Oryzias latipes: one gene and its partners. The protein of the gene in region 1 purifies or fractionates together with the protein of each later gene. This does not show direct contact. Links are inferred from orthologs where the notes say so. Each region holds a gene or a part of one and is shown in the gene's direction. Other genes may lie near its edges.

Region 1 (4,854 bases):
TGCAAGTTTTATTGAGGAAAAGTGTAATGTGTTAAATGGAAGTGTTGTTTGGTTAAAATGGCTGCTTCTTTAACTATTGGTAAAACTTACCAATGCTTATTATTAAAAGCATCCAATAATTGCTATAATAGCATCTGTTTAAAAAGTCTTTATTAATACAAAGAGTGTCAGATTTTTTTAAGCACACACTTTTGACAATCTATGTTTTTTTCTGTGGTCTCACAAAGAACCATACACTCACCCCTCTACTCTATCTACAGCATGCCACAGTGCCAGGCATCTGTGGTCAACAGGAAATGACATCTTCTCCATTTTGGCCTCCTCCCCCTTTGCTGGCTCATTTTGTCCAGATCAAGCTGATGGGTCAGGAAATTCTTCACAGGCTGATAAAACCAGGATATGATTACTCGGATTTAGTGTGGAGAAATGCATGGTTAACAATGACACAGCAAGTTCTAGAAGCCACAAGAGTGTGCAGTTTCTGGTTTTTTTTCCACTTTTTTCTTCTTCTTTTCCTTTTGAAAAGCCGAAAGGATGATGCTTGATACCAGCCACAGTGAATCAGCTTCCTCCATCTAACCTTGTGTTCTGCACAATCTCCTCTAACACCAGCTACCTTCATTCACTGCATCCATAAATCTCCTCTTTGGTCTTCCTCTGGACCTCTGGTCTGGTAGCTCTAGACTCCGCATCTTTCTACTAGTGTTTATTCACTTTGGTTGGTGAAAGAAAATACTGAACATACTGAAATTCTTTTTCAAAGTCATTACACCACCTAGTGGGGGAAGAGAACATGATCTTTTCTCTTTTGAGTCTCATTTAGAGATGGTAAATCTGCTGATCACTCTGGATGAGCCGAGTGAAATCATGTTATGAAGTAAAGTTGTGTAAATCAACGGCAAGAAATCCTTTAGAGGTCCATATAATGAAAACACACAAAAAAGATAAGCAAAACCCATAGAATGCCATGCTAGTTAAATCACAAAGCAAAAGCTCTTAGGTCCTCAGAAAAGCCATTCCAAAGGTGAGGGACATGATAGTGAAATGTGACCTAACACTGGATGTTAACTCTCACAGAAGAAATTGTTCATAAAATATCACAAAAACTCTAAGTGGTCTGAGAGCAAAGACCTTTTAAAACGTATATAAGACTTGGAAAACTCAGTCTTGAAGATCACATGTGCGAAGACCTCAAAAGAGAATCAGGTGTGTTTAAGAGGCAAAAACACATAAAACCTGCAGAAGGTGGTGTTCCTTGAAGATGGACAGGAATTTCATGTGATAGATCTCACATCTCAGACGTGGAAAGCTTTGTTAATACTTGCTTTGTCCGTGGTCAGTCTGGTAACAGATTAACTCCTGAGCATCTGGTGACTCATTCTCATTCACCCCTTGTTGCTGCACTTGTTTCAGATAGGAAGTCTATACAATGGCAAAGAAAAGCAAATTAAACAGCTCAGAGGAATGCTTTGAATAACAAATTCAGAGACAGGATTTTCATTAAAAAAGAAAAAAACACATAATATAAATAATCATAATTTCCTATGGTTTAGGAAAATCTTTTCAGCAGTTTTGGGGATATTGTAGGTTATGACGTTTTCTTTTCTTTTCAATGTGTACATTATTTTAGATAATTCATATGAAACCTGTGTCTCACGGATCTGGCCTTGAAGATAAAAATCCCAGTGTCCACCAGGGGGCGCGCTTGCAGTGCTGTAGACAAGGAACACTACATGGGATCAAAGCAGAAGAAGAAGCTGTAGGTCGTTTGTTTCCTGTTTTGTTTTTTCTGAATACAATTTTCAGGTAAGCTCAGAGATATTGAGACATACACGTGTGATTTTGTGGTTACACGCTCTTTGCTTTGCTCTTTAACATCAAAGTAATGTAATTCGAAGCTGAGTACACGTGCAAAGGTATGGACAAATTGGATTGTATTAAGAGAAAACACACGCCAAGTTCAGTTGCCCAATCATTCCAAAATGAATGGGAGACGTGACATATTGAGATGTGTTTGAAAGACCAGACTCCTAAAATAAGCGGTTTATTTTGGGATATAAAGGGCACAGTGGGTCCCACTTTGCTAATTTCGTTAGCTGTGAAGTCCACAATGCTGAACGTTTCTTTAGTTCTAATTTGTGTTGTCATTACATAACATTTTTTACACAAAATTTTTTGTTTTATTTATGTATTTATTTTAGTTTGTTTGGGTCAAATTCGAATGATGCTTGGTAACATTTATATGTATGTATGTCCCTCACCTGATTGATCCTGTAATCAAGCTAAATGACCAATAAACACTTACAGAAATGTATATTTGAGGCCTCCGGCAGGAGTGTGAAGAAATTGACGGGCTGATCACTCTGATTGTGGGCGGGGCTTTAGTGGAGCCATAAGGTTCAGCAGATTGTGTTTGCAAATCCGTCCCCCCCAAAGCTGTGGCAGCTCATCTGACTCTCAGAGCAATGTGACTGAACAACAAGCCGTCCTCCAGTATTTGTGTTTGTGTTGAACGTGCGATGGATTGATGTGAGCGCCATCACTATCGGCGGAGAAGTTGTTTTTCTGAACTCCAGCCTCGATCTTCTGTATGTGACAGGGTCAGAGCTGCTGCTGATGCCTGGCTAAGCCTGAGCTGAGAGGAGATAAACGAGTGAGTCCACTGTTATTGTCCAGAGCGCTGACGGGTTCCAGTGACAGTTTCATAGTCACATATTGCAAGAAGAGCGTCTTGATCCTCCAGCTTCTTCCTCTCACCTGCTCCTGTTCCCTGTCTCCTTGTCAGGATGGCACAGTGGGGGGTCGTTTTCTCCGTAATTGCTGCTCTTGGAGGAGCGGCGCTCTTAGCATCTGTCCACAAGATTGAAGAAGGACACACTGGCGTGTACTACAGGTGAGCCTGCATGATGTTGTTTAACAGATAATAAAATAAGCAGCTGTAAATGTATCAATCTGTCATCCTACTAAGAAAATAAGCAAATTCAAGCTTTATCACAATTTCCAAATTTAAATCTAATTATATTTTACTCAGTTTGGATAAATTTCAATTCATCTATCCATTTTCTTAACCCGCTGTATCCCTTTTGGGATCGCTAGGCTGCCGGAGCCCAACCTGGCTAATGTTGGGTGAAGGCGGGGTACATCCTGGACAGTTTGCCAGTCTGCAGGCCCACACAAATGCACGCACGCACACCTAAAGTCAATTTAGAGACACCAATTAACATATGGACACATTTTGAACTGTGAGAGGAAGCCGGATGGGTTTGGGAAAACCCTTGCATGCACAGGGCAAACATTCAAACTCCACACAGAGGACCCAGCAGGGATTTGAACCAGGGCCTTCTTGCTGTGAGGCGAGAGCGCTAAACTCTGTTCCACCGTTTGATCCATTTTTAAAAGTTTAGCTCCAAAATCAATGTTCTTAGGTTAGGAAACACAGAACACAGCAGTTCGATTCATTCAGGTTTTTTCCCACCTTGTCCTAGCCATAGCACTGCCTTGCATAGTGTTAAAGAACCACATGCCATAGGGGAGAAATGTCTTCCCCATTTGTCCATGGATCAGGACAGAGGCAGCAACCAGTCACTAAGTCTGGACTTTCTCTAAACAGCTTTCTAAACAGTTGACTTGTGATGTGACAAATATACCCTCTGCAGCAGTTTTTGTCGATGTGGGAGGACACCAGCCTTCCCAAGAAATACAAACACAGGGGGTCTATGTTTGCAGAGGTTTTCATATGCTTCACATATTTGCCCTTACATTGTCACTGGCTTCAGTTGAGGCCCGGGCATCCTGAAGTCCAATTTTTTCATGGCTGCATCGAGGTGCAGGTAGTTAGGTTCGCCCCATCTGACAAAGTTGTGAATCAGGTCTTTGCCCTCCTTCTCCTGTTCACTACTGATTCAGCCCATGATAGCCATGTCATCCACAACATTCTGCACACGATGGAACTCCACAGCTCCAGGAGTTAGGCTTTAAGTCAGTTCTGTTGAACAGAACTGAAGTTAGCAGTGTTCTTGTGGTTTTTACCATTATATCCAACTATTGACACGAGAACGGGACGGAGTGAGTTTCACGTTATCCATAGAAAATGGCTTACTTCCGACTCCAGCCATAATTAATTCAATCCAGTTGCTATTTTCCGTAGTATGGACGTTGCCATGTTGGAACTTTGAAGTCGTAAGTAAGCTGTGATTGGTCTGAGCAGGTCTGAGTCATCATTTCTATGGCAACCACTCTCACAAACCAGGAGTGAGCTTGTTGGAAGGCCACACCCCTTCCACTTAATAGCGTGGTTGGGGAGAATCTGTCAAACGTTTCGAATGTTCGACATGAAACCACATACTTTTATCGAGGCATCTGATCAGTCAGTTTATAACTTGAATAACTTGCACTACAGAAAAAATATCATGGAAAAAATTAAGATTAACAAGAACAAGGTTAAAAAAGGTATCAGAGCAAGAATGGTTATCCTGACAAATAGAATGACTGAGTGATAGCTGTTTATTTCTCAAAAGAAGTCTTTGGGATTTTGGCTTCTTGGAGCCAGCAGGTACTTCCTATTTGGAACACCAGGGGGAGTCGCTCAGTCCAGTTCTTATATACAGTCAATGTGTCCAATCTGCAACTCCCCACCCTCAAATACTGAGGTCTGTAATCCAGATTTAAGTTTACAATTTTCCGATTCTTTTGTTTACCCACAGCGCATCCTAATTTAATGTGACTCATCTGATCAGAAGTCTGTAGGTTAGTCAGTGGGGCATTCATGCTGTAGTGAACCACACAAGAATTCATTAGCAAGAGAACGCTGACCTTTTCTTCTCAAGCAAATCAGGGTTTGTGTGTTTGATCTGC
Region 2 (4,799 bases), on another chromosome or scaffold:
AAACAGATTACCTGAAGTTACACTTCACCAAAAGTCCAGCTCAGGGATGAAAGAAAATCCAAAGCAAAGTAACTTCTTTTTTTTTTCTGAATTTGAATCTGTTACAACACTCCCATAAATGTTAACTTTGGACTGCAACTTCATTTCTGTCCTCTTTTAGAGTAGCTAATAATTAACATCTGGCTATGAAGTTTCAAGTTTATTCTATCTTATCTGTCGTTACCCTTCATCATGATCTAGTTCCTAATTTTTGATTTTACAAAATATATAAATAAATATTAATATAAAATATATGTTAATGAAGAGTGAAAGCTGGAACATGAAAGCAATCGGTACCTGGAATTCTGTCATGACTTTATTATAAAACAGCTTTTTTTCTTCTTCTTCACTCAACAATTGGTACGTTTGTTTTATTACACAGTTTGTTCAATATTAATAGATATTACCTGACTCTGAAGTTTGTATTCGTATGCACGAATTTCTGTTTAGGTAGATAGTTTTATTTATTTTTATTGTAAAAGGAAAAAAAGGAAATGTGTTTGTTACAGGATGTATTGTTATAATGCATCTTAAAAAAAAAAACTTACTGTGTTAAATTTTATTTACTATCCTTTTAAATTGAGTTACTTTATAATAAACTTGTGATAAATGTGCAAAATCTTCTCTCCCAGCACCAAAAACATTATTCTAAAATTAAATCTTTGAGTGTTTGAAGTTTGAATAAACAAAAAATATGAGCAATTTGGCAATTTATTTTTATATTGACAAACCCCATTGACGCCATGAATTAAACTACTTTGACTCTAAACGTACTTTTTTTTTAGCTGGAAATAGTGATTACGCTGTCTGTGGGTTATTGGGTTTATAATATGTGGAAGAGCTAAACACATCCACAATAGCCTTGGACCTCTTCTGGTCACACACTGCTTTGGGATGCCATCACATTAGTCTACCATGGGCTGGCAGCCTGGTTGTGCTGGTACTACAACAGCCCCAAGCTGATCCTTCAAATTGTCAAAACAAAACATCAAGGAATCAAAAAGGACATCAGCTGCAATAACCAAAGCTAGCATTCCAAACGTATTCAATTACAGTAAAGGCCACCTGAAGGTTTCACAAATGTAAAACTGAGGCAATGACGTCATACATTTAAGACGTGTGTCATTGGTTTAAAAAATTGGGCAAATTCTTTATTGATGCAACTCAATCTGCTCTGCTGCCCATAAAAAAAAAAAAACTTTTTAAAAATACAAATGTATGGTTCTAATATATGATCATTTTTTAAAGGGCTGGTGTTATATCGAATTATCTACCAAACACTAATTTCCTAACATTGTGAAGTGAGTTTTTATGTATAAATACATATTTATTACTTTGAAAAAAATCTATCTAATCTGATTGGTCTCATCATTACATGCATAAACGTCTACCCTGCTGTCATTAGGGGTGAATTTCCAAAGAAACGACGTCTCCTGCTCTCCCGAATGAGTCGCGACTTTTCTTCTTTGTTCTAGAAACTACCCGTTCCTGTCTTCGTGGTTTATAGCACATTTTAAATAACACATTACAAGTGGATTCGTGCAGCTGATAGCAGCAAAGGTAAATGATATTTTAAGTGTGTGAAGTGAGTAGGTAGCAGCGAAATCGTGTGAAATCGTGTGAAATATGATTTGAATGGCGATGCCTTTAAACAGCCACGATGACGTAGTTTCCCTGCGCAACCAAGAAGAAGCAGCTCGCGAGTCAGCCGTTCAGCCTGTCGCTCTGCTCGGTGGCGTAAACATGACGATGTTGTCGTCCTCTATGATCTTCTTCGTGCAGCTGCACTAAAACTCGGTCCAGTGATTAGGACATTACCCGGGATATTGGGTCAAACGTTGTCTGTAAGGAACTGTAAGTGGAGTCTAGACACAAAGCCGCAGTTCGGCGATTGGTTTTAGCTTCGCAGCAAAGATTGGCTAACAAACTAGCTAGTATTAGGTAACGTTAGCTAGGTGAATTACTAACACTGGACATGTTAACTCACTTTAATTATTCTATTTGAATATTTTTGGTTTGATTATTTATTAAAATACACCCAAAGACAAAAAACCGAACGAACTTGATATATTTTTTTTAATTAAAGAAGCTTATGGGGGTTAGCCACTTCCTGCGTTAGTCTGTATTAGCATTTTATTGCTTTAGATTTTATATTCATATAATTTTACTAATGATTATTATTTTAAACTTGCCAGTATTGGTGAATTGGTATCGCCCTCAAATTGCAAACCCCATTGATTACATAATCTGTTTAGCTGTTTAAAGTCAGGCCAACATTGGCTAATCCAGATGTGTGTTGTTTGTTAACAGACTTTTTTTTCTTCCTTTTTTCGTTGAAGACTACTGCACCCACTGCAATGCCTCTAATGTTTCTGGAGAGGTTTCCGTGGCCCAGTTTGCAGACTTACACAGTATTGAGTGTGGCTTTACTCGCTGGGAGCATCTTCAGTGCCTACCCTACGGTGACAGACCCCGGCTTTGGGGCCTTGGAACCGGACGATACACCTGCTCCCTCCCACGTCGATCTTGAACACCTAAGCAATGCTGTCAGTAACTCAGAACTGGCAACAACGATCCTGTGGTATCTTGTGACCGACAGTCTGTTTGTGTGGGTAAGTTTCACTCACTTTAAAACGTTAGACTAATGTAGGGGTGTGACAATTCATTTTAACAATGGTCTGATTCATATCCTAATTTGTGGTTTCTTAATACTCAATATTGATTCATTTTTAATGGTCTGATATGATTCGATTCACTGACCTAAAATGAGTCGAGGACTAGGGAACACAAGCCACAATTTTCTAAGGTCCAGTGACGAAAGTTGGTGACCACAAATGGTAGAGCTTCCAATTCTGAACACAGAAATAAATGAAATGGCCCAATAGACCTCAAATTAAGTTATTATTATATTACGTCTTGCTGATCACCTTTGTTTTGCGGAAAACAATGGGAAAACCCGGTAATCATGTATAGATATATCAAGTTTTTTTTTTTTTTTAATGTCTCTTTCGATGCCACAGCTTCTCTATCTGTGCTCTAAACACCATCAATCTGTCACAGGACATTATTCAAGGGATTCAGCAATGTTGAATATTTTTCAGAAGATCATTCAATGTATACTATTGCATACTTTACCTCTGCTGAGTGCGGTTTATTATTCTGTATTAGGGACTTGAACCTGTGACCGTTTGTTACCGCGCTCTTTAACATTGTTTGTCACGATGCGACTTGTGAGACTTGGGTCCGCAACGACGAACCTCGCGCGGTTCATCAAGGTTCCTTGATGATGTGTTGGCGGGTGGTTTTTGGGACCTAATTTATCTTGTGCCTTTTCACTATCCATGACTCATGATCCAAAGCCATGAGAAAGCTGCCATTTTCTCACAAATGTCCGCTAAGTCCACTCTACCTTGTTTCAAATCAAAATCAAAGTATAAGCTATCCCAGTACACACAGTGAAGGGTATTTCATCGCTGTACATTTTCCAACGCGGAAACAAAGTTCTTCAACGGTGAAGCAAACATGCGCAAACATATGATGGCCGAGAGCTGCAAGACACATTTACATTTGAGATACAACCATTAACAAATCCTGGAACAAACAAACAAATCATGAAGCACTAAAAACAATTTTGGAACAAATGAACAAATACTGAAACACAAAAGCAAATCACTGAAGAAATTACAGAGTCCTGAAACCCAAAAGCAAATCCGGGTATAAATTACCAAATACCAAATCAAAAAAACAATCTCGGTACAAACGAACAAATGCAGAAACACAACAAGGAAAGTGGAGAAACGGCTTCTAACATCCTGAATCCCGGAAGTGACGTAATACATAACTAATTATGTATGATTTTTTACATTTCTTTATCACTGTTTTTTTTAAAGTGGACATTTTCAATACATGAAACAATCCAAAAGCATTTTTTTAAATTTTATTACTACAATACAAATTACAACAATGTGTTAGCAAGGTAAAGTTTTTGCTGCACTTCCGGTAATAATGGTATTCCCTTTCCATTAAGCTTGCACTAGTGCAAAACACGACTTCAGAAGAAGGAGAAAAAAATGAACGAAAGCGAGCAGCTGCCAACGGAAAGGGAATACCATTACTACCAGATGTGACGCAAAAACTTTACCTTACTAAACATTTTTTTATTTTGTATTGTAGTAACACAATTTAAAAAATGCTTTTGGAATGTTTCGTGTAATTAAAATGTCCACATAAAGAAAACAGTAATAAATAACTTTAAAAAAATCATAGTCAATTGGTTTTATATTATGTCTTTTCTGTTAGAAGCCGTGACCTGCTTTTGTTGTTGTGTTTCTGGATTTGGTCAATTGTAACAGGGTTGTTTTTTGTAATTCTGTATTTGGTCATTTCCCCCCGGATCAGCTGTTGTGTTTCAGGACTCAGTAATTTGTTCCATGATTTGGTGTTGTATTTCGTGATTTGATGTTGTGTTTCAGTATTTCTTTGTTTGTACCGGGATTTGTTGTTGTTGTATCTTAAATGTAAATGTGTCTTACACCTCTCGGCCACAGTACAAACGTCATGCACAGTGACACCCTTTGCAGTACCTGCTAGGACATCTTTAGGCAAAAATTCAACCAGTGTGACTCAGAGATGAATACCTGGGTACTGAATGGTACAGGGGAAGTTACACCAGAAATTGTACATTAAATATGTGTACAAACATACAAGAAAACAAGATCCAATGGCAATTTTAGTTTCATGAAGTTCAGCCCACTGTTGTT
Region 3 (5,098 bases), on another chromosome or scaffold:
TCAAAGCTCTTGAGGAGATCTACATGGAGAAATGGACCAAAAGAGAAGACCCAATGAAAATGTCTGACCTCTATCAAAAGAATTGAGATGAACTTTTGATATTGACCAAATACTTATTTTCTACTTCACTTTACAAATGAAGTCTTTAATTTGTAACATTCTATCTCTCAATACTGAGGTGTATCCATAATATGACTTAGGAGTGAATGAATAATGGACACATAATAAGCACTTTAAGCGTCTGGAAAAGCGCAGAAAGATCCAATCCACTATTATTATTATTAATATTGTTATTATTATTATATAAACTTAAAGATTCAATAAAATACTTTTTTTTTAAACAAAAGTAAATTAGGTTCAACAGATCTCAAGACTTTAACAAGGATTTACCAACGTCAGAAAGGACATCCTGCTGTCATAGATGGATTACCATGACAACATGATCGTTTTTTAATTTTTTTGTTTTCATATTTGGAGACACAAACGGTTCATTTTGAGCATACTAACCTGCCATAACAGGGTAATTAAAGTGTTCTGCTGCTGGATCCAGGTTGACCACCTGAACTGAGCGGTTCAAAGCCTCTGCATGCTGGGTCATGGTGGAGCAGTACGTACTCTGAAATATTAATAATAATATTTTAAAAAGATACAATTAATGGCAAAACACAATAACAAAATAAAAACACGCTGGGTGACTGACACCACCTCATGTACTGTTAGCAACAACAGACAAGAGGCTGTAGACCATCCAGTGGCATTTTTGAAAACATACCTTTCCGCTACCAGCCGGGCCCATCACCAACTGGGCATAGCGAGGCATTTTCTCTGAAAAATGCGGTGTGATAAAGATCTTAAGTATCTTTAACCACAGACGCTAGCTTGTAATGCCATACGCATCGGTGTGATGACGCTACTTCTTCTTCTCCGGTAGATGATTTACGGTCAGGCTCATTACTGCCACCTACTGATCAAAAGAGGAAATGGAAGTCAGGGTGACAGTGGTCTGAAAAAGAGCCACAATGGAATGAACTGGTGATGAATTATTACACCTTTCGCACGGTGGATGTGAAAACAAAAATGCAATCCCATCTTTGCATTTTCGCTTTAATTATGCCACAGAATAAGCGGTGTTGAAGAAGAAAAAGAAAAGCAGATTGGCTCATTCGTTTGTAATTTTATTTTTTAATTCACTTGATGCAGTTACATTTTCAAAATGAAAAAGCATTTCTGTTAATAAACTTTGATGATCAAAGAAGATATTTCTAATTACATTATGCTACACATTTAGTAAAAAATGTCGAATACCATTTTCTTTCTCATTTTAATTAAGTGACAGAATGAGCTGTGTTGAAGAAGAAGAAAAAGAAAAAGTGGTTTGGTCGGATTGTTTTTTTTTTTATTATAAATTATTACAAATGCAGCTTCATTTTAAAAATTGAAAAAGCATTTCTGGTATTGACTTTCATTTTAAAATATACTACAGAAATCTTCCATACGAATGTACTGATGATGAGCATTGAACCAATATAGTGAGGAAAATACTGTGCAACAATTGTTTTCTTTTTGTGTGTCAATTACCATTGAGTCGCAAATTCTGTGGCAGTGTCAGTTGTGGCATTTTTTTAAGTTTCCCCAGGAAATGAAAAATTTTGCTCTTTAACTTTAAAATTGCTTTATTAAAACCATATGTATTTATTTGAACAAGTCGTTTAAACTGCCTATGATATGACCACGATAACCATGAAACTTAAAGCAAAGATCATGACAATAAGTTGTTCACAAACTGGCCGTTAGGGAGCGGTAGAGCCCCAGGGATCTTTGCTGTCAACAAACGAAACCACCAAAATTGAGTAAGAAGTAGAAAGTGACTGCATCAACATGCGATGATCAGGTGAAATTTGGAAACGTATGCAAGCCTTCCTGCTCACCAAGTTTGTTGATTGCGTCCTTCATCAGGCGCTTAAATTAATAGTATGTTTCGAGGAAGTGAATGGAGTTAACAGGCCAAGTTTGTGTACAGACATTACCGCGTGACGGTGGACTTCTTAGCAGGTACTACTACTACTACTAACTATGGCAAGTCTTTGTTTTTCTATTTTTTAAAACAAATGTTTTCTTTTTTTGTTGTATTTTTTTTTGCTGTCTGAAACACGTTCATGTTAATTTTCGTCAGTGCTTTCGATTTACGTGATATGAAATAGTTTCACTTCAGGAACTACCTTAAGGTTTGTTGTTAGCATAAGGCTCTGTATTTGTTTACGAGCGATAATAATCCTCTCTTTTTTTAAATCCTAGTTATAAATGACTATAATAATCGTTTGTGTAGCGTTAAAAAGTAATGAGGTCTGAAAACCTCCGTTAAGATAAATGAACCTATAAGTAAACATTAATTGTTTACAAATGACGTTTGCTTTCAAGAATTCTCGATAAGCTGCTCAGGAATGAGGTAACAAAACCCCAAAAGAGTCCAGCTTTCAACAATTATCCACTCTCTTTGTTCTGTTAAATTGTTCACATTATATTGTTTGGTTTTTATGTTTACAATTGTGTCAAATTGTCAGGAAAATGTACAATTAAAAAGATTCTGTTCTCCATTGAAGGCTTTTATTTTGGAGATAAAGAATTTCCGGGTTTGTTTTCTCTGCTCATTTTCCAGAGTCATAGGATATGAGTTTAGGGAATGGGGGATAGTCAATGTGGAGAGCTGGACTACCTGATCCAGGATGAGGACACCATCATCGAAGGTGTCAGCAACCAGGTCCTGTTTGTTGTAGTTCTCAGTTTGACCTTCCTGGCGGGCCTCCTCACTCTTCTCTGCAGGTAATGAAGACCAACAAGTCTGTGCAAAAACTGGCAGCATTGAGTTCATGCAGTGTTTTTACTGTGCTGTTCTCTGCTGATTGGAGAAATTATGCTGCTGTTTAATTTATGTGATATCACAGATATAGGAGCTAATTCTAGAATTTAAAGCGACTGAAGTAACGCCAGATCGATCAGGCTCGTTTCCCTGCGCAACGAGCAAAATGATGGTCTTTGCGCTCCAATCAAAGTTGGCAGATCATTTTACTTACATCATCATTATGAAATTTTCTTTCATTGATCCATTTCTTACCGCAACGACGGTTGAAAACCTTTTGTCCTTCAGGCAGAAACACATAAGTGAGAATTGACACACTCAGATTGCCTCTCTTTGCGTTAATCTGTTGCAATCTTTTTGTTTTTGGATTTTTCAAGTCAGGGATTTAAGGATGAATTCAATCATATATGACATAATTCATCCTAGTGTCTGATCATTATTCTTTGTCTTCTTTTTTAAGGCAAGATGAGCAGAATATCCACCCTGAGAACCAGGAGCATGTCCGAGCGGTCCGACAGCAGCTTCAAACTGAACAGGTGCGCAACCTAGAAAGAACCCCAGAAAGTTTTTGGCAAAACCTAGACTAGTTGTAGCCACAGAGCGCCGTTTTTCTCTTCTGTTGCTTAATTCTGAGTTTCAAAATAAAATCATTCACTGCTCTATTTTTTTAAAAAATCAAACAAGTAAACAGAAAATAAATGTAGCTTGTTTTTTTTTTTTAACTCTTGGAGTTGTAATACTTTAAAATAACCTTTTTATTTATTTATTTATTTATCTGAGTAAGTTAAAACTACATTTTTAAAAATATTTATACATATACATATACAGACGGCCAGTATCTTCAGTATTGAATTGAGTTTAAACTGTTTGCTCATCGTCACCTCAAAAGGCTTTAAAATTCAGTGAGGAGTTAAGAACATATGTAAGCAGGCAGACACAGGAAATGGAGGAACTGCAGAATCAGAACCACTACATTGAAATATTTCATAACAGTGATCTTTGCAGCTCTGCAGAATCACCGATTCTATTTTAGGAAGATGTCTTTCTGTGTATTTTATTTTGTCAAACGTCCTGTTTGCAATGGTGAGACGTGTTCTCTGCGTGTGGTTTGTCAGGATGAAAACCCTCAGGCAGAGGCCAGGCAGCAGTTCTACACAGACATGTCTTGCCCCGTCTGTTTGCAGCAGGCGGTTCTGCCCGTGGAAACAAACTGTGGACACCTTTTCTGTGGTAAGAAAGAGTTTAGAAGCAAAGTATAGTTTAGGGGTTCCTCACACAATTTATTAGTGAAGGTACTTTTGATATTCTGTGAGGAAATTGTACAATCTTGTGCTAATTTCTTCTAAATCTCCTGTAAAACAGGTTTTGTTTTAATTTTAATAGTTGGAAGTTGTGTCAAACCCTCATCAATGAGATATTTTACTTAGATGTGGATTATTTATGGTTTTTAAGATGTTAACATATTCTTACACAGGCTCCTGCATCATGGCTTACTGGAGATATGGCACCTGGCTTGGTGCCATCCACTGCCCAATCTGCAGACAAATTGTGAGTTTTATTGCTTTTATATCTATATTTTATTTTCAAGCAATATTTATTAATATGTCTAATTATCCAAGCTTGATTAGTTATGGTATGAATGTATAACGGATGATTTTATTGTTTTTGTATATTATTTCTATTTGATTGCTTGAAATAAACCATTTCAAATCAAATCAAAAAATATTTTATTGCCAAAATCTCTGTTTTATGACATGATTTTTTTATTTTTTTTCCTAAACTGATTTTTCTAGTAAAACTGGGAAAGGGTCCTTAGTGACTGTTGCTGAAAGTTAAACATCTCTATAGAAAAGATCTGTTTTTTCTAGCATAATCTGTTGGGAATGGTTTAAAAAACATTTAAGATCTTCTACAATGAAAATTATGTTTTTTGTGTTGTTAACATGTTTATGTGCGAAAAACAAATTCTACAAATGGAGGACATGTATAAAATTCAAATTGCTGTGAATTAGGAGCAAATGAAAAACTGCTGTTTAAAAATGAGCTCTTTTTTGACGTAGAGAATTTGTTGGGAGGGCCTCAAGCTCGCTGCTCTGCTCCATTCTGATGCATCCACTTGCAGACAAACAGACAAACTGTACGGCTGGATGTTGCTCGCCATTCTTATTGTTAGGTTGGGGTCGGGAGGGGCTGCACACCAGCGGGAGAGCGCATAGACAGATGCTTGACAGAAAATGGCCC
Region 4 (4,904 bases), on another chromosome or scaffold:
GTGTGGGAGCCCCACAGGGCACTGTGCTCTCTCCATTTCTGTTCACCTTATACACCTCAGATTTTTAGCACAACTCAGAGTCATGTCACCTACAGAAATTCTCTGATGACTCTGTGGTTGTGGGGTGTATAAGCGGTGGACAGGAGGAGGAGTACAGGAGGCTGGTGGATGGATTTGTGGAGTGGGCTGGAGAGAATCACCTGCTGCTCAACGTGGACAAGACCAGGGAAATGGTGATCGACTTCCGGAGGAAAAGGACTGTCTTACAACGCCTCTGCATGGGCAAGGATGTAGAAGCGGTGGAGGAGTATAAATATCTGGGTGTGACTATCGACAGCAGACTGAGCTGGAGGAGCCACAGCACTGCTGTGTACAAGAAGGCCTGCAGCAGACTCTACTTCCTTAGGAAGCTGAGGTCCTTTAATGTGTGCAGCAAGATGCTGGGGATCTTCTACCAGTCTGTGGTAGCCAGCACCCTGTTCTCCTCCTTGGTCTGCTGGGGAAGCAGCATTGCAGTCAGTGACACCAACAGACTGAACAAGCTGATCAGGAAGGCGGGTTCTGTCATTGGCTGCAAACAGGACACCTTTGAAGCAGTGATGGAGAGGAGGTCCCTGAACAGACTCCTTTCAATCATGGACAACCCAGAGCATCCTCTTCACCCTCTTCTGAACAAACAGCGGAGCTCCTTCTCTAGGAGGCTCAGACAGCTCCGCTCCAAAACTGCCCAGTACCAAAAGTCATTCATACCCAATGCAATAACCCTGTACAACACACAATGCAAAAAATAACCTTTGCACATCTTTTATTACCTATTTATTTAGTTGTTTTCTATTTTGCACATTTCTTTTGCACATCTTCTACTTGCACTGTTCTGTAAATAGCTTTTTAAATTATAATACCTTGATGTCTGTATTTATGCTACATTTTCTTGTTCTTGTTTTTTTTTTTTTTTTTTTTTTACTTAATTCTTAGTCTTTTTTCCCCTCTGCTGTCAGTTGCTATGGTGACAAACAAATTTCCCACGTGTGGGATCAATAAAGTATCTCTGATTCTGATAACACCTTGAAATGATGTATTAAAAGGTAAAGGTTGAATTAGGCAGCTGACTTTAGGCAGATTAAGTAAACTAGTCGTTACATAAGAGATCTATTTTGAAACTTCAAGGATACAGGAACTATGAGGCAAATTGAGTCTCTCCCCGTGTGAGTTTAAACCACCATTACGATATGATTGACAATGTGTTTTATAAAACAATTGAATGTAATGATCGAGAAAGCTTACGTTTTTTCACTTTTTGACTGTTCCCTTTAGGGAATGTCTCCGACCATTTAAGCTGTGTGCATCTTTGCTCACACCAACCACTTCTCACTCCACGAACGTCTTTGGTCTGTCTTTCATCCACCATAAGGTTTCTCATTCATTTCTGATCAACGGCCTGAACGTGTGGTGTTTCACCAAGTACCAGCAGATGGCAGCATGCCACCATCATCGCGTTGGTTCTACCGGGAGGCCAGAAGAAGAAGCGTGAACAGGAAGTGACCATCTGGCGAACATTAGCCTGGAAGCCCACGGGCTAACAACTCATGATATGACGTTTGGACCTTAATCAGTGAGTTTCAAGTCTGTCTGTTTGTTCCGAGGCTTCCTCTTAGCCTCTGTTTGGGTCCAGCTCTAAACAAGGTTCGGTCAGGTTGTTCGTATCCCGCTCTGAACTCGTTCTCTTGTCAGAGTTGTTAGTTAGCTTCTCGGAACTTAGGTTCCGATAAAGCCAGGTTACACTAGAGACCATGGTTTGGTTCGAGTTGCATGTTTGGATCTGCACATACATAGTCCGGCCGTCCACCCTCCAGGTGAGATGTGCTTCTGTGTGTCACGTGACGTGATTAACAGGTGGCATTACAGGGCGCGTGGGGAGCTGACCTCAGTTTGACAACGCTCAGACATCGAGGAAAGATCACAGGTGCGGCCGCAGTGTAAAAGTGAAATAATGAGGGTTTGGCTGGGTAACAGTCATCTTAGTGAGGCAGTTTAGAACGGTTCAGGGTCCGGGAATACTTTGAAAATGCCACGTGGGTTATACTGGGAGTTTGTTTACAAAAAGAACAGGTGAGTGCGGAGAGGGCTTCTTCAACCACGTCATCATAGTTGTACTGCTCGCATTTTAAAGTTTCCTGGGTTTTTTTTCTTCATAATACTTTTATTAGGGCACATTGAATAAATACCTATGTAAACTGAAGCAGCACTTAAATGCTAACTGTGTTTGATACATTCAATCAAAAAATGAACAAGTAAAAGTATAAAAAGGAAACACGTTGAAAATAGATCAAAAGATCAGGCTGGTTATGGTTAGTCCGGTCAATTCTGAGTTGGTTACATTCACACGGAAAGCTAAGAGTTATTATCGGTGGTGCTCTATGACAAATGAAACTCGTGATGGCTGACGCTAAGCTCCGCCTCCTGTTTGCAGGTGTGTCATCGTGGGCGATGGCTCTAATCGAAGGTGTCGGCGATGAGGTGACGCTGCTCTTTGGCTCACTGCTGGTGTTGTTGGTGTTGCTGCTGGCATGGATCTCCACCCACACCTCTGAGCCCCCAGAGCACCTGTTCAATGCCTCTACAGACCCCACCCCCACAGAAGGCACCGTCTCTGCCCCACAGGACACGCCCCTGTCCTCCACCAGCAGCAGCTCCTTGTCTTTCTCTCCAACGTCATCCTCATCTTCAGCTGCCAGCTCTGTGAATGACAGCGTCCCGTCAGAGGCTCCACCCACGACCTCCGCCACACAGGAAGGTAGTGAGGTGGGGGGAGGAGTCAGACACAGAGCAGGGGGGGAGCCATTGTCCTCCCCAAGAAACATGGTGGTCAGACTAAAATTTCTGAACGACACAGAGAGAACGGCTCAAGTCAAACCACAAGACACCATCGGATACATCAAACGGTAACTTTTCTATCGTATCTATCAGTTTACTTTATTGTACTGCACTACATGGTATTACACTGCACCACACTTCACTGTACTACACCGTACTTTATTCTACTTTTACGTACTTCATTGCAGTACAATTTAACACAGTGTACTGCACTGCAATGGACCATATCACACCATACTTGTCTGTACTCGGTACTGCAATATACCACACTATTATCTATGTAGTATACAGTATTTCACCGTCCTTTACTGTACTTCATTGTACTACATCTTACTACACAGTACTAAAATAGGCTTCAGTGTACAGCACTGTACTACATTGCATTACATTGTACTTACTGTACAACACTGTATTCACTGTTTTATATTCTAGTATACCATCACACTACACTGGAATAAACTGTAATACATTGTACTGGACTGTAGTTTACAACACTAAACTCTAATTCACCATCCCATACACTGAACCATACTGTACAACACAACACAAAGGACTGCATTACTGTAATACGGTGCACTTTACCATACTATATTGCACTACAGAATTGCCACCTTATTCGCGCAGGGGGGGGTCAGAGGCACCCGGAAATACTGGAAGCACCCCCAACCCCTGTGGGGGAAGAATGTCCGCCACAGATCCTCACTCATCAAAAACCCTTCTGAAATATTTCTGATACTTTATAAAACATTGAACATTGGAATATTGCTCAACATGAAGAGTTTTTTTTTATTCAGATCAATAGACTGATACTTTATATCACACATTAGGAGTGTCTCTCTGTCTCATGCTTCCTCCTTCATCAGTTAAGTGTGAGAGGGCATCTTCTTCCTCAAGAGGCTGGTTTCCATCATTCATTCATTGGGATGATAATTATTCTCCGCAATTATCTTCCTCAGCGTATCAGGATTGTTTTTGCCCACTTCTGAGTCAGATGATGCTATTTCTGCATGCAGGGACACAAACTTCGGCTGCAGTTCTGTATGTCAGTTTAGATCTTTATTATGAAGCTGCTGAGGGCGTGTGGAAGAAATCTGGTTCATCAAACTTTGAGACAGGAAGATGTGGGACGTCTGTCGGTCACGTTTGCTTCATGAATTGAAGCAAACATCGTGAGGACCCCACAGGAGGACACGCATCCAGCAAAGAAGGCCTTTCTGGTTCTTCTCAATGTTTCAGGAATACAATAGGAATCTTGAAGCTGCAGCTCTGTCTGCAACATTTCTCCTCCTCATCATCATCATCATGGTTCATAGCAGCAGTTATACGTAACCACAGAATGCTGGATAAATGCAGCTGAAGCTGTTGCTCTGAAAAAGAAAAGCTTCACAGTCGGTTTGTTTTAAACATTCACTATGATGCTTTGTTCGCTGCCTGCTTATTGCTCAAGTGTAGGGGTCAGTGATAAATTGATGAATCGATTTATCAAAGTAGATCGATCAGTTTTGGACAGTGTGCCTTAACCTCCTGAGGCTTGTGCTCTTGTTTGAAATGCCTTTTTTAATTTCGTACTCCCAGGTAATGAGAGTTGGCTACAGTGGTGAATTAATCGAATCAAATCAACCTATAATTATTAAAAAAAATCATCCCAAGATGAAATGAATTTGGATTGAGACGTGGTAGGTTTATTTTACTATGAGGTAAAAATGACCAAGTGAATCACAGTGGACAACAGGTTTGTGATGTCAGCATGAAATGATCACAGTCCAATGTGTGGAAACGCTTTGAATTTAGCAAAGACATGTGACCAAACAGTGTGATAGAATGTTCTAAGAATGTTCCCTTTGGATTATTTGGATGTGAAAATAACAACAGAGGGCTGAACTTTAGAAAACTAAACTCTTAATGGATTTACCATTAATTCTAGTTTACTTGTTTGATCACATATTTAATTTACATTTGATTACGTTGCAAGAAATACACAGAATCAGGAAACCTTCACCTACACTGTTCAGTACCCAGGTATTTATCTC
Region 5 (4,811 bases), on another chromosome or scaffold:
AAAACTTGTGTTAAGAAGATTACTTTTAGTCTGAAGGTGATTAGAGATTAAGACAATGGTACAATCAACTCAAAGCAGAGCTTTTCCAATGTTTACAGCAGAAAAAAACAATCACATTCCTTCTAAAATAGTATATTTATTATTTGTAAATTTAAAATAAGGCATGAAAAACAACCTAAAATTATTCTGTTATGGTAAATATGGAAAAATGTTATGCATCATTTATTTCATCAGACATAAAATATAAATTACTAATGAATAAATCGACATCTGCAGATGTCTTAGAAATGCTAATATATCCAGAGTTTATCTTCTCTTTTTCGATTATTTGGTCAATACAAAGATCTGGACTGATTAATGCCTCAACCCTGAGAACCCAAGAGCAATTTTCTTCTGGGATTTTGAAGTTAATTTGGCTTTTTTGTTGTTTTTTTCATTTTGCAGCAATTAACATAGACCAGAAGATTGAAAATCCATAAATAAATTAATAAAAAATACACAAAATGTATATATAATTTTGAAGAAAAAAAAATAAAAAAACAGCGGCCAAACTTGTCTCCATGGGTTCTCCAGGGTTAAACTTTTGTTTTACTTAGAAATATTTGAGGGAAAATCTGTTAATTTTCTTTTCTTTCTTTTTTTTTTGACAAATATTTTTATGTTATATTTTCAAGTCATGAAGCTAATCACTGGGTGGCAACCAGAAATAAGTTTCTGCTTCACAGCTTCATTTGACAAAACAAAAATCATCCTCCTTTTTAGTTCTGCGTTTTAGCTGCACATAATTGCCGTGACACAATGAATACAACACTGAGCCATTAGCAGCACAGTCAATTAGCAAAAGAGGAATTTAAGAGGGAAACTTAATTAACAGGACATGCTATCTGATTGATACGCTTTCTGTTTTTGTTTACAAATTTGCTGTGAGTCATGATGCAACAAGTCATTTTGCAAGTCAATTTACATCGTAAAAAGGATATTCATCCATGTAATTTATTATCATGACACTGATGTTAAGAAATGTGACTTTTAAGGATGTTTTAAGAGGATGTAAGGATGTTTTTTTGTCTAATGCTTTTCTTAACGTGTGAAATGATTACTTTGACCAGAAGTGAGTTTTCTTTAAAAATTATGATTTTATGTTGTGGCTATTATAAGGTTAAACTGCATGGAACACGGTGTTTACAGCTGTATGTGAGTCAAGGGTCGGTAATGGTTACTGTGCTCCCTAATTGGCAGTGAACTGGACTAGAGGCATGATCGTAAAACACGTAGGTCCTGTCCCCGTTGTTTTTAGTCCTTGAAAGGCGGGCAATGAACTCTTTGCATGACATTATCTGTGAATGACATGCGGATGGCCACACACCTTTTGCAGCCTCCCTCCGAACCACACCTCCTCTATGATGACCTATGGGTCAACAACTTGTGCAAGCATCAGAAAAACATCACAACAAAGTGTGCCACTAACCCCATTCCCTGATGCCTGCCTATAAAAGAGCACCTGTGACTTGGATTAGGGTTATTTAGTCGATGTAACTCGCTGATGTAGCTACAAAGGAAGAAATAGACCAACCTTTAAGGATTAAACCTGCGTTCTTCCTGGTAAGAACAGTCTCCTAATTCTTTACATTATTATTGTTGAATTAGAATAATTACAAGAAATGAATTATTGGCTAAAAACAGAAGATACTACTAAAGTATTTCATTAGGCTATGCAAAGGCTTTCAACTTTAAAGCTCAGCATGAAAATAATGAGCAGATGTTTATTAGCAACAAAAATTGGTTATTATGCATTACTGTTTTATTTGACACACCAATCAAACCTTTTTTTGCTACAATCTCTGCAAATAAGAGGGTGATGCTTTTTTGATCAATTAATTCTTTTGGTTTTTTTTAGTATTTTGACTTTATGGTTCCTTTGTCAGTAGTTTTTCCTCACTTTTTGTGTTTTCTTTTTCTTTTTTAACTTCTAGGTGATTGATTTGTACTTGTTAAGTGAAGAGAACTTCTCCATTGAGAGCGTTTGCATTTCAGCCGCAGCCTCCTGATCTGAGCGTCTGCGCCGGACGAGGGGGCGGTGGGGTGGCGTGACGTCATATCAGCCACCGCGCTCTGATTGGCTGCCTGGCTCTCACCCGACAGAGCTGTGATTGTTTTCTGCAGAGGAAGCCTCTGAACGAGCGCCGTGCGCTGGAATGAAGCGACCCTGTGTGTGTTTTTTTTGTTACTGAAGCGATGATGTGAGCGCACAACGTGACCGGAGTCCTTGTCGTTGAGTGCGGGAAAACAAAACAGGGTGGTAGTTTGATCACTGGCCGAGGCGCCAACGAGCAGGACGGAAGTTTGGGTCACACAGTCTCAAGAGAGATCAAGGTAAGAACTTACAGTTTACGACTTACTTTCATCATCTAGACCCATGCTATAAATGATTTATGTTTGTAAGTTAAATCTTTTTTTTGATTTAACAGTAAAAAAAAAGTGCCAAATGCCGAGACTGGAGGACCACTGCTGGAGCTGCTCTTGTTCTTCTAAGGCTGACACTAAGCATTCATCGGGGGCTAGCTGGGTCGCATCCAAGGTTGAGGAGATGATGTCCATCATAACCACGGTGCTCGGGAGCGCCTACGGCTCTCTGCACGACGTCCGGACCACCAACCTGATCCGCCGGGGTCTGGTCCTCTTCACGGTCGGGGTCTTCCTGGCCCTGGTGCTGAATTTACTGCAGATCCAGAGGAACGTCACTCTGTTTCCTGAGGAGGTGATGACAACGTTGTTCTCCTCCGCTTGGTGGATCCCTCCATGCTGCGGGACGGGAGCGGGTGAGTTTGTTGGAGGTTGTTTGTTCTGTTTTTTAATCAGAATTGTGCTGCTGTTTGGCGACAAAGGAGGCCAGATAGGGGAGGGGTCACAATGCTCCAGGTTTTTCCTAATAAAATACTATTTTTGGTGAGAATAACCACAAATGTGACATAAAAACTTTCAGGTTAAATTAAAAAAAATGTCTCTTTAGGTGTATTTCTAGGGCTCGACAAGCGAATCCGTCGATTTTTATGTCTAAAACGACAGAAATACCCTAAATATCATTGACTTAGACTTTCGCAGTGAAACATAACATTAGTCATCCTTTCTTTCCACCATTATGTAAGCTTTTTTTCTCTCGGGCGGTGTGGATCTGGCTGGTTTTGTGTTAGATATCAAAAAAGATGGCTGGGCACATATGATAGCTATTTCTGCGCTCTGATTGGCTGAAACAACCGGACGCGACGTGCGACGTCCCCTCATTGGTTGGTGTCATAACGGGTGAGCGGAGGACCTCCCCCTTCTTGTAGAAACAGGAAGTGGGGTTTTAAAAAAAAGAAAACATTCCATTGTGGCTCCGCCTCCCACGTGCTGAAGGAAGGCAGAGAAACAGAAACCGATTTTTCTTGGTTTTAAAGTCTTTTTAGACGACTTTTGAGTAAACCAAAGTTCAAATTTCATGTAATATGTTTAATTCATATTTAACATAGAAAAACGTTTCTAATTTATTCCTATAAAAATTATAAATTCTGACTGTTTTACATTAAAGATGTGGAGAGAATGGTTCAGAATTTAAATAAATAACTTGTTTATACTTTTACGGTCAAATTTAGGTCCAAAACCACTTATTTTTAGGGCAATTACCTTTAAGGTTTTTTCTCAGAAAGTAATTTAAATAAATAATAAATTCACATATATGAGCCTTGAAATTGCAAATACACAAAACAGTATCGCGTTCACATGAGTCACTAAGTATAGAAACGCACGTCTCAGCAAATTTTCTGTCACTGCAGCTCTTTGACAGGATTTGCCCTCAGTGGGTCTCGGTATTTCTGCTTTTGTTGCATAATTCAGGCGTATTTGTTGGTCTTCACAGCTGTTATCGGCCTGCTGTACCCCTGCCTCGACAGTCATTTGGGAGAGCCTCACAAGTTCAAGAGGGAGTGGGCCAGCGTCATGAGATGCATCGCCGTCTTTGTAGGAATCAACCACGCCAGTGTTGTATCCTTTTATCACCCTCCAAGTCTTGCCCCGCATGAATTTGCTTTGCTTTAGCCACAACAAGAATCAAACCTTTTCCAGTGATGAATTAAATACAGGGTCCCTGTTGAGTCTTTTGTTTTCCGACCAGTAAAGAGTCTTAGTTTAAAATTTTGTTGCTGTTCTGTTTTGTTTCTTTTGTTGCAAAGAAAGGAAGTGCGTAAACGTCTGTTCTTCTCATTCAGTCCAGCTAGTCAAAAAAATTCAAACCATCTGATCCTGTGCTAACATCGAAGTGATTCCCCTTAACTCTTTGGAAAACAGAAGTTAGACTTTGCCAACAATGTGCAGCTCTCCCTAACCCTGGCCGCGCTCTCCTTGGGCCTGTGGTGGACGTTCGACCGCTCCAGGAGTGGCTTCGGTCTGGGCATCACCACCGCCTTCCTCGCTACTGTCATCACACAACTGCTGGTCTACAATGGCGTTTACCAGTAAGTCAGCCTTTTTTCAGGGGAGATTTGGAGCAACAACGTGTGGTTTCAATGTTGTGTGAACAAACAAGAATGTTTCTCTCTTATGGCTGATTCTCAACACTAATAAGTGATTGTGCAGTAGTAAAAGTTGACCTTTGTCACTTAGAATCCATTTAACTGACTGGTTACTAATGTTATTGGATGCAATCTGTTTTTTTTTCTTCTCCGCTTTGAAGACTTTTATTTTTAGATGATCTCATTCTTCAAATTCACATGGGTAGTTGCGTAACATTTAGCCCTGCTTACATGGTGAACAGCAGAACGGCACACCAGAGGATC
Region 6 (4,921 bases), on another chromosome or scaffold:
TAGCACAAGGGTTGACAGCACTGTCTGCAGCTTGTAACACACAAGCTCCAATCTAGAGCCAATGCCACAACGAACATGAGTGTAAATAGGAAGCAACATCTTCTAACCCAAGAAAACCACTGTAATACTTAATTTACAAAGTCAATTAGCATTCATTATTCGGAATTGGATCAGACTTTACATAAATGATTAGACATTGACAGCTGTCTGTTTTCAATGAAACCAAGTCTCAAGAGATCAATCTGTATAAATAAAGTTTTAATAATGTAGAATTACTAATTTGGATTTAAAAAAAAGCATCATGCAGACCCTTTCTAAAAAAAAACAATATTAGAATAAGAAGTTTCTTGACCCGATGAACCCGACAGTTGGATGCGTCTCCTGAAGGTGGAGGTTCTTGAAGCTGTTCCTCCACCTCATTCCAGGCTTTCTGGAGGTCTGCAGCTCCTTGAATCTTGTCCTTTTGATGATCCGCTGAAGTCTCTTTGCTGGAATTTTAAATATAAAAATTGAAGGGTTATCTAAAAGGAGCTGCATTACCAGAATGCAGGGTTGAATGTTATCTTGCTGAAGAAATGGCTGAGGTTGTTTGCTAACCATGCCAACTACCCCTGGGCTTACTCAACAATGCCGAAATTCTTTATATGTCCATATTGAGTGGTTTTCAATATGTTCAGTTCAAACCGTAGGTCGTGTCGCCATCCCATAATGATTTCAAAACATGTTATAGTCCAAAGCCTTATGAGCATTTTACGTTTGAATGGTGTCTAGCTAAAATTATGTTGAAGTTATAATGGTTGAAAGAAGCAAATGTTTTCAAGGATTCCACATGTATTTAAATGGAGCCAGAAATCATGGACTATCTTGAAGAGTTCAAAGATTCATAGGACCTAAAGTCATAGCTGGAAGGAATAAGCTGAACATTGTAATAGTTGAGTGGTTAAAATAGGTGAAAAATTGTAGAAGGAGTTAAGTGCAGAAAAACGGCAGAATATGCTATGAAAAAGAAACAGTGGTTTACAGCATTCAACCAAATAAATCAAGAGAAACAAGAAAACAATTATGGAAGCGACTCTGTAGCATAAATAAAAATTAAAGTCAATACCAGAAAAGTCAATACTAGAATACCATTTTCAAAATGAATTTTTGCATTTCTATTAATCCATTTTGTCAAATTAGACATTTCTAAATGAATTTTGTTAAACATTTACCAGAGAACGTTTTGAGAATGAAATGTCAAATACCATTTTCATTATCATTTTAATTAAGTGACAGAATGAACGGTGTTGAAGAAGAAAATGAAAAAGCATTTTGGTGGATTGCTTTTTCATTTTCGTTTTGAGTCAAAAAATGCAGCTTCATTTTGAAAATGAAAAAGCATTTCTAGTTTTGACTTTTATTTTTAATTATGCTACAGAATCGCTTCCATAAACAATGGGTTGAATGCTGTTGTTTTTTTGTGTGGTTTTTTTGTGCCATGAATCATCAGTCAAAGACGAGGAAAAAGTCTTTGCAGACAAAATGCAGGAAAGCGAAAAACAACTCCTGTCAGACAGCGCGCAGGTCGAAGGCTGAGCGTCCGACATCCGTACTTCCGCTCTATCCGTGGTTTTGATAACAGCATCCGTTAGCTCGGTCATTTAACGCCGACAGGTCATTTTTGCCTATTAGAAAGTTACACCTTTCTGAAGTTTACTTCAACATTTTGAGTTTCCAGCCTATGTAAACTTTGACGTAGAAAACGTGAGTTTAATGCGAGTTCCGCAGGTTAACTGGGGTTAGCTGCTAGCTTGTGTAGCCTGTCTTTCGTCGTCTTCGCGGAGGTCCGCTTCGAGCTGCTGGGCTTCAGCCTTATGGCCTGATCCAAACGCCGAGAAGAGCTGGTTTACGTTGACACGGACTCGATAATTCGGAGTCATTGGCTGGTAAGTCCGCTGGAGGAGTCTCAGCTGCGGGGCAAGAGTAAAGGCAGCAAGGCCCGAGAGAGACGGCGCCCGAGACTGTTGACCACAACACGTCAGCTGATCGATGCGCCACGAGAGCACAACATGCTGATCAGCACAACAGCAGGTCTGGGCTGACGGTTCTGGTTGGTACTGTAGTTGGGACTGATTCAGGTTCAGAACATACGGACAGGTGGAGGAGGAACGCCTTCCCAGGTCACGTGAGCTCACAGGAAGTTTGGAAGTGAAGTTGGTGAACCGTCTTTATTCAGGACTCACTGATGTTTGAATTACCGACCGACCGACGCCTTCAAGTTAGGACCAAAAAGACAGGTCCAGTTCTTGGTCATCTGCTTAAACGTGATGTTATTGAAAGCATCAGAATGACCAAAGTCAACAAAATAAAGCAATAAAAAGTGAAGGCAATGTAATGAGCTCAACAACAGACACTACTGCCCCTGTCTGCCTAAAGCGGTGTCACTAAAAACCTAAAAAAACGTTAAATAACAATCAGCAAAGTCTTCCTAAGGTCTGAGGATTTGACCAAACTATAGCTTGCTTTGCTGCAATTGGGCTCGCACAAAAACCATAACCTTACTGTCACTGTCATGTTGGCCTGTGTGATAAATACGGACCTAAATGTTTACACACATGCTGAAACAATCTCAGCTTGAAGTTTCTAACAAATAGAATTCAGCCCTTTAAGCATTGGAGCTGGATGCCCATCTCCTTTGTAGATGATGGGCATTTAGAGAAAATGTAAGTTATGTTGACCTTTATTTAACTTACACTGTGGCAGTGAAATGGAAATGATGTATGTTTTTTGTTTTCTCTAATTATTCATGTTTTGCAAGTCATATCATCATGCCAGTACTGATCACTACCATTGCGTGTTTTCCTCACATCGTGCAGCCCAGCTGTAATAACAATAGAAATCCATTTCCAATGTAATTTACTGGTTTTATTTCTGACAAGCTGCAGTTTATTATGAAATTACCTTTCATTTTGAAGCATTAGCAAAGTCATTAGCAAAGCAAAAGAAAATACAAAACAAAATAAATAAATAGACTTATTTGAGTAAAATGACATTTTGTCTATTTTTTTCATCATCAATTAAATTACAGTTTTATGTATGTTGTCCAATATTTCCTATGAATATTAATATTGTGAAAAAAGTGGATAGCTTTACTTTGAAAATGAGAACCAACACTTTACTTTGAAGTTTTATTTACTTCAGGTCTCAGTGGTTCATGCAGCTGTGTTCAGTTCATATCATTAAAATCCAACATTATTCTGCATTGAAGAATAACACTCTCTATGACACTCTCATAGATTCATGAAGATCACAAATCAGCGTTGCAAATATTTGTACTAGTACATTCAGGGAAATATATCCGAGTACTTGGATACACTTTACAGCCCTGGTCATTAATGATTTTTCTCAAACATGCCTCATATTTATAGCTCCTCCGAAGCCTTGGCGTAACCCTTGTGCTATCCTAGGCACTTTAATATTGGGAGTTGGGTCATCTGGACCCACTAGACAGTGCTCTGAACCTTTTTTCTTCAATGATTTGTGATCTTCACTGGTGTCCATGGATTACATGAAATCTTTCCACCTTTGTCATGGTAGAGAGAACACGTCAATGGAAGGACGGGGGGTCATCTAAGATGGCACAAGGGTTAACCTGATCTAAGTTCAGTCAACTCCTGATAGATCAGTAATCAAAGTTCTTTGTTTCTTGTCATTTGCAGCTCTCGGTGGAGCTTCCCCTGTTGACTCTACTCCGGCCAGAGCTCCGCCTTCTCTCTGAGGCTGTATTGAGCCACCATGCTCACTTAGAGCCAGCCAGTGGGCCCGTGTCTTGCAACCAGAATCCTCAGTGACCATGTCCGAGAACCAAGCCAATAACGTCCCTCTGAACAACAACATTGGACCCAACAGGATTCGAAACCCCAACATCAACCAGAACCCCCTCATCAATGTCCGCGACCGCCTCTTCCACGCGCTGTTTTTCAAGATGGCTGTTACCTACGCCCGTCTCTTCCCTCCGTCTTTCAGGAGAGTTTTTGAGTTTTTTGTCCTCCTCAAGGTGAGAGAAGCAGAACTGTCTGGCTTTATGGACAGAAACTGACTGGCTAACGAGAAGCATTGCTGAGCTCTTTAACCGCTTTGAATGGAGGGAAACTCTGCTTCCCAAAAACCTCCGTTTTACCAAGACTGTCCATCCGTCTAGGTTTTAGTCTGCAGATCAGCATTCTGTGATGTGTTTCAACTCTGGTATAGTTTCTGAGACTACATGAACATTTGGTTTCAGTCTGAATTTTGGTCGGTTTTATTTGGAGAACAGAGGTTAATGGCATTATTATTAACGTTCCACTGTTGTGGCAGAAGGTCACAGTTGTGTAGATTTGAATGTTGGTGAATGTGTCAGTAAAATGTCCTCCTTTTGCTGTCCTCCAGGCTCTCTTTGTCCTCTTCATCCTTGCTTACATCCACATTGCCTTCTCTCGCTCACCGATCAACTGTCTGGAGGCCGTGAGGGAGCGCTGGCCTCGCGACGGCATTCTGCGCGTAGAGATCCAGCGGAACTCCAGCCGGGCGCCCGTCTTTCTGCAGAACCACGATTCCTCTGGGCTTCAGGAAGAGCTGGAGGGGCAGGAAGACGCAGGAGGAGCCGTGGCACAGCTGAGCCTGGCAGCTTTGCAAGAGGAGGAGGAGGAGGATGAAGAGGAGATGACTCTGGAGATGTTCGAGAACAGTTCGGTACAGGTTGGAGATGTTTTATTATTTTGTCATTTGTAAAAAGAATTCAGAGCTGCAAACTGAAAACTAGGATGTTAGTTTTGGGTTCAGGATCAGTTAACTGGAAACAAAGACCTGAATCTGTCTGTTAGTGTTGATGATCAGAACTCTGCTCTGGTGGACCTACTGACGTAAGACTGGAATAGAGAGAACAGGATTGTTTCACGAACAA

The links.
Region 2: the proteins of erlin-2 (region 1) and amfr purify together in Homo sapiens (affinity purification with western blotting; 4 studies listed by BioGRID and IntAct, with this or other methods). This does not show direct contact. The link is inferred for Oryzias latipes from reciprocal best matches to the Homo sapiens genes ERLIN2 and AMFR.
Region 3: the proteins of erlin-2 (region 1) and E3 ubiquitin-protein ligase RNF170 purify together in Homo sapiens (affinity purification with mass spectrometry; 4 studies listed by BioGRID and IntAct, counting the BioPlex papers as one, with this or other methods). This does not show direct contact. The link is inferred for Oryzias latipes from reciprocal best matches to the Homo sapiens genes ERLIN2 and RNF170.
Region 4: the proteins of erlin-2 (region 1) and tmub1 purify together in Homo sapiens (affinity purification with mass spectrometry; 4 studies listed by BioGRID and IntAct, with this or other methods). This does not show direct contact. The link is inferred for Oryzias latipes from reciprocal best matches to the Homo sapiens genes ERLIN2 and TMUB1.
Region 5: the proteins of erlin-2 (region 1) and insig1 purify together in Homo sapiens (affinity purification with western blotting; 4 studies listed by BioGRID and IntAct, with this or other methods). This does not show direct contact. The link is inferred for Oryzias latipes from reciprocal best matches to the Homo sapiens genes ERLIN2 and INSIG1.
Region 6: the proteins of erlin-2 (region 1) and tmem259 purify together in Homo sapiens (affinity purification with mass spectrometry; 3 studies listed by BioGRID and IntAct, with this or other methods). This does not show direct contact. The link is inferred for Oryzias latipes from reciprocal best matches to the Homo sapiens genes ERLIN2 and TMEM259.

What each region holds. Positions count from the first base shown.
Region 1 is NC_019867.2:25,069,400-25,074,253, reverse strand, and holds the start of erlin-2, read left to right. Parts: upstream 1-1,631; 5' UTR 1,632-1,639; coding exon 1,640-1,806; intron 1,807-1,848; exon of another isoform or gene 1,849-1,916; intron 1,917-2,599; exon of another isoform or gene 2,600-2,653; intron 2,654-2,785; coding exon 2,786-2,893; intron 2,894-4,854. UniProt on the Homo sapiens protein: Component of the ERLIN1/ERLIN2 complex which mediates the endoplasmic reticulum-associated degradation (ERAD) of inositol 1,4,5-trisphosphate receptors (IP3Rs) such as ITPR1.
Region 2 is NC_019861.2:26,263,820-26,268,618, reverse strand, and holds the start of amfr (E3 ubiquitin-protein ligase AMFR), read left to right. Parts: upstream 1-1,718; 5' UTR 1,719-1,893; intron 1,894-2,378; 5' UTR 2,379-2,396; coding exon 2,397-2,651; intron 2,652-4,799. UniProt on the Homo sapiens protein: E3 ubiquitin-protein ligase that mediates the polyubiquitination of lysine and cysteine residues on target proteins, such as CD3D, CYP3A4, CFTR, INSIG1, SOAT2/ACAT2 and APOB for proteasomal degradation.
Region 3 is NC_019870.2:16,803,042-16,808,139, forward strand, and holds the start of E3 ubiquitin-protein ligase RNF170, read left to right. Parts: upstream 1-1,827; 5' UTR 1,828-2,076; intron 2,077-2,656; 5' UTR 2,657-2,680; coding exon 2,681-2,820; intron 2,821-3,317; coding exon 3,318-3,393; intron 3,394-3,972; coding exon 3,973-4,087; intron 4,088-4,331; coding exon 4,332-4,405; intron 4,406-5,098. Other genes in the region: gpn3 (GPN-loop GTPase 3), read right to left, coding at 508-616, 773-820. UniProt on the Homo sapiens protein: E3 ubiquitin-protein ligase that plays an essential role in stimulus-induced inositol 1,4,5-trisphosphate receptor type 1 (ITPR1) ubiquitination and degradation via the endoplasmic reticulum-associated degradation (ERAD) pathway.
Region 4 is NC_019875.2:10,862,378-10,867,281, reverse strand, and holds the start of tmub1 (transmembrane and ubiquitin-like domain-containing protein 1), read left to right. Parts: upstream 1-1,432; 5' UTR 1,433-1,853; intron 1,854-1,931; exon of another isoform or gene 1,932-2,109; intron 2,110-2,470; 5' UTR 2,471-2,487; coding exon 2,488-2,942; intron 2,943-4,904. UniProt on the Homo sapiens protein: Involved in sterol-regulated ubiquitination and degradation of HMG-CoA reductase HMGCR. Involved in positive regulation of AMPA-selective glutamate receptor GRIA2 recycling to the cell surface.
Region 5 is NC_019878.2:19,439,004-19,443,814, forward strand, and holds the start of insig1 (insulin-induced gene 1 protein), read left to right. Parts: upstream 1-1,467; 5' UTR 1,468-1,602; intron 1,603-1,973; 5' UTR 1,974-2,373; intron 2,374-2,468; 5' UTR 2,469-2,485; coding exon 2,486-2,819; intron 2,820-3,895; coding exon 3,896-4,020; intron 4,021-4,323; coding exon 4,324-4,490; intron 4,491-4,811. UniProt on the Homo sapiens protein: Oxysterol-binding protein that mediates feedback control of cholesterol synthesis by controlling both endoplasmic reticulum to Golgi transport of SCAP and degradation of HMGCR.
Region 6 is NC_019862.2:1,619,912-1,624,832, forward strand, and holds the start of tmem259 (membralin), read left to right. Parts: upstream 1-1,505; 5' UTR 1,506-1,925; intron 1,926-3,698; 5' UTR 3,699-3,832; coding exon 3,833-4,036; intron 4,037-4,407; coding exon 4,408-4,716; intron 4,717-4,921. UniProt on the Homo sapiens protein: May have a role in the ERAD pathway required for clearance of misfolded proteins in the endoplasmic reticulum (ER). Promotes survival of motor neurons, probably by protecting against ER stress.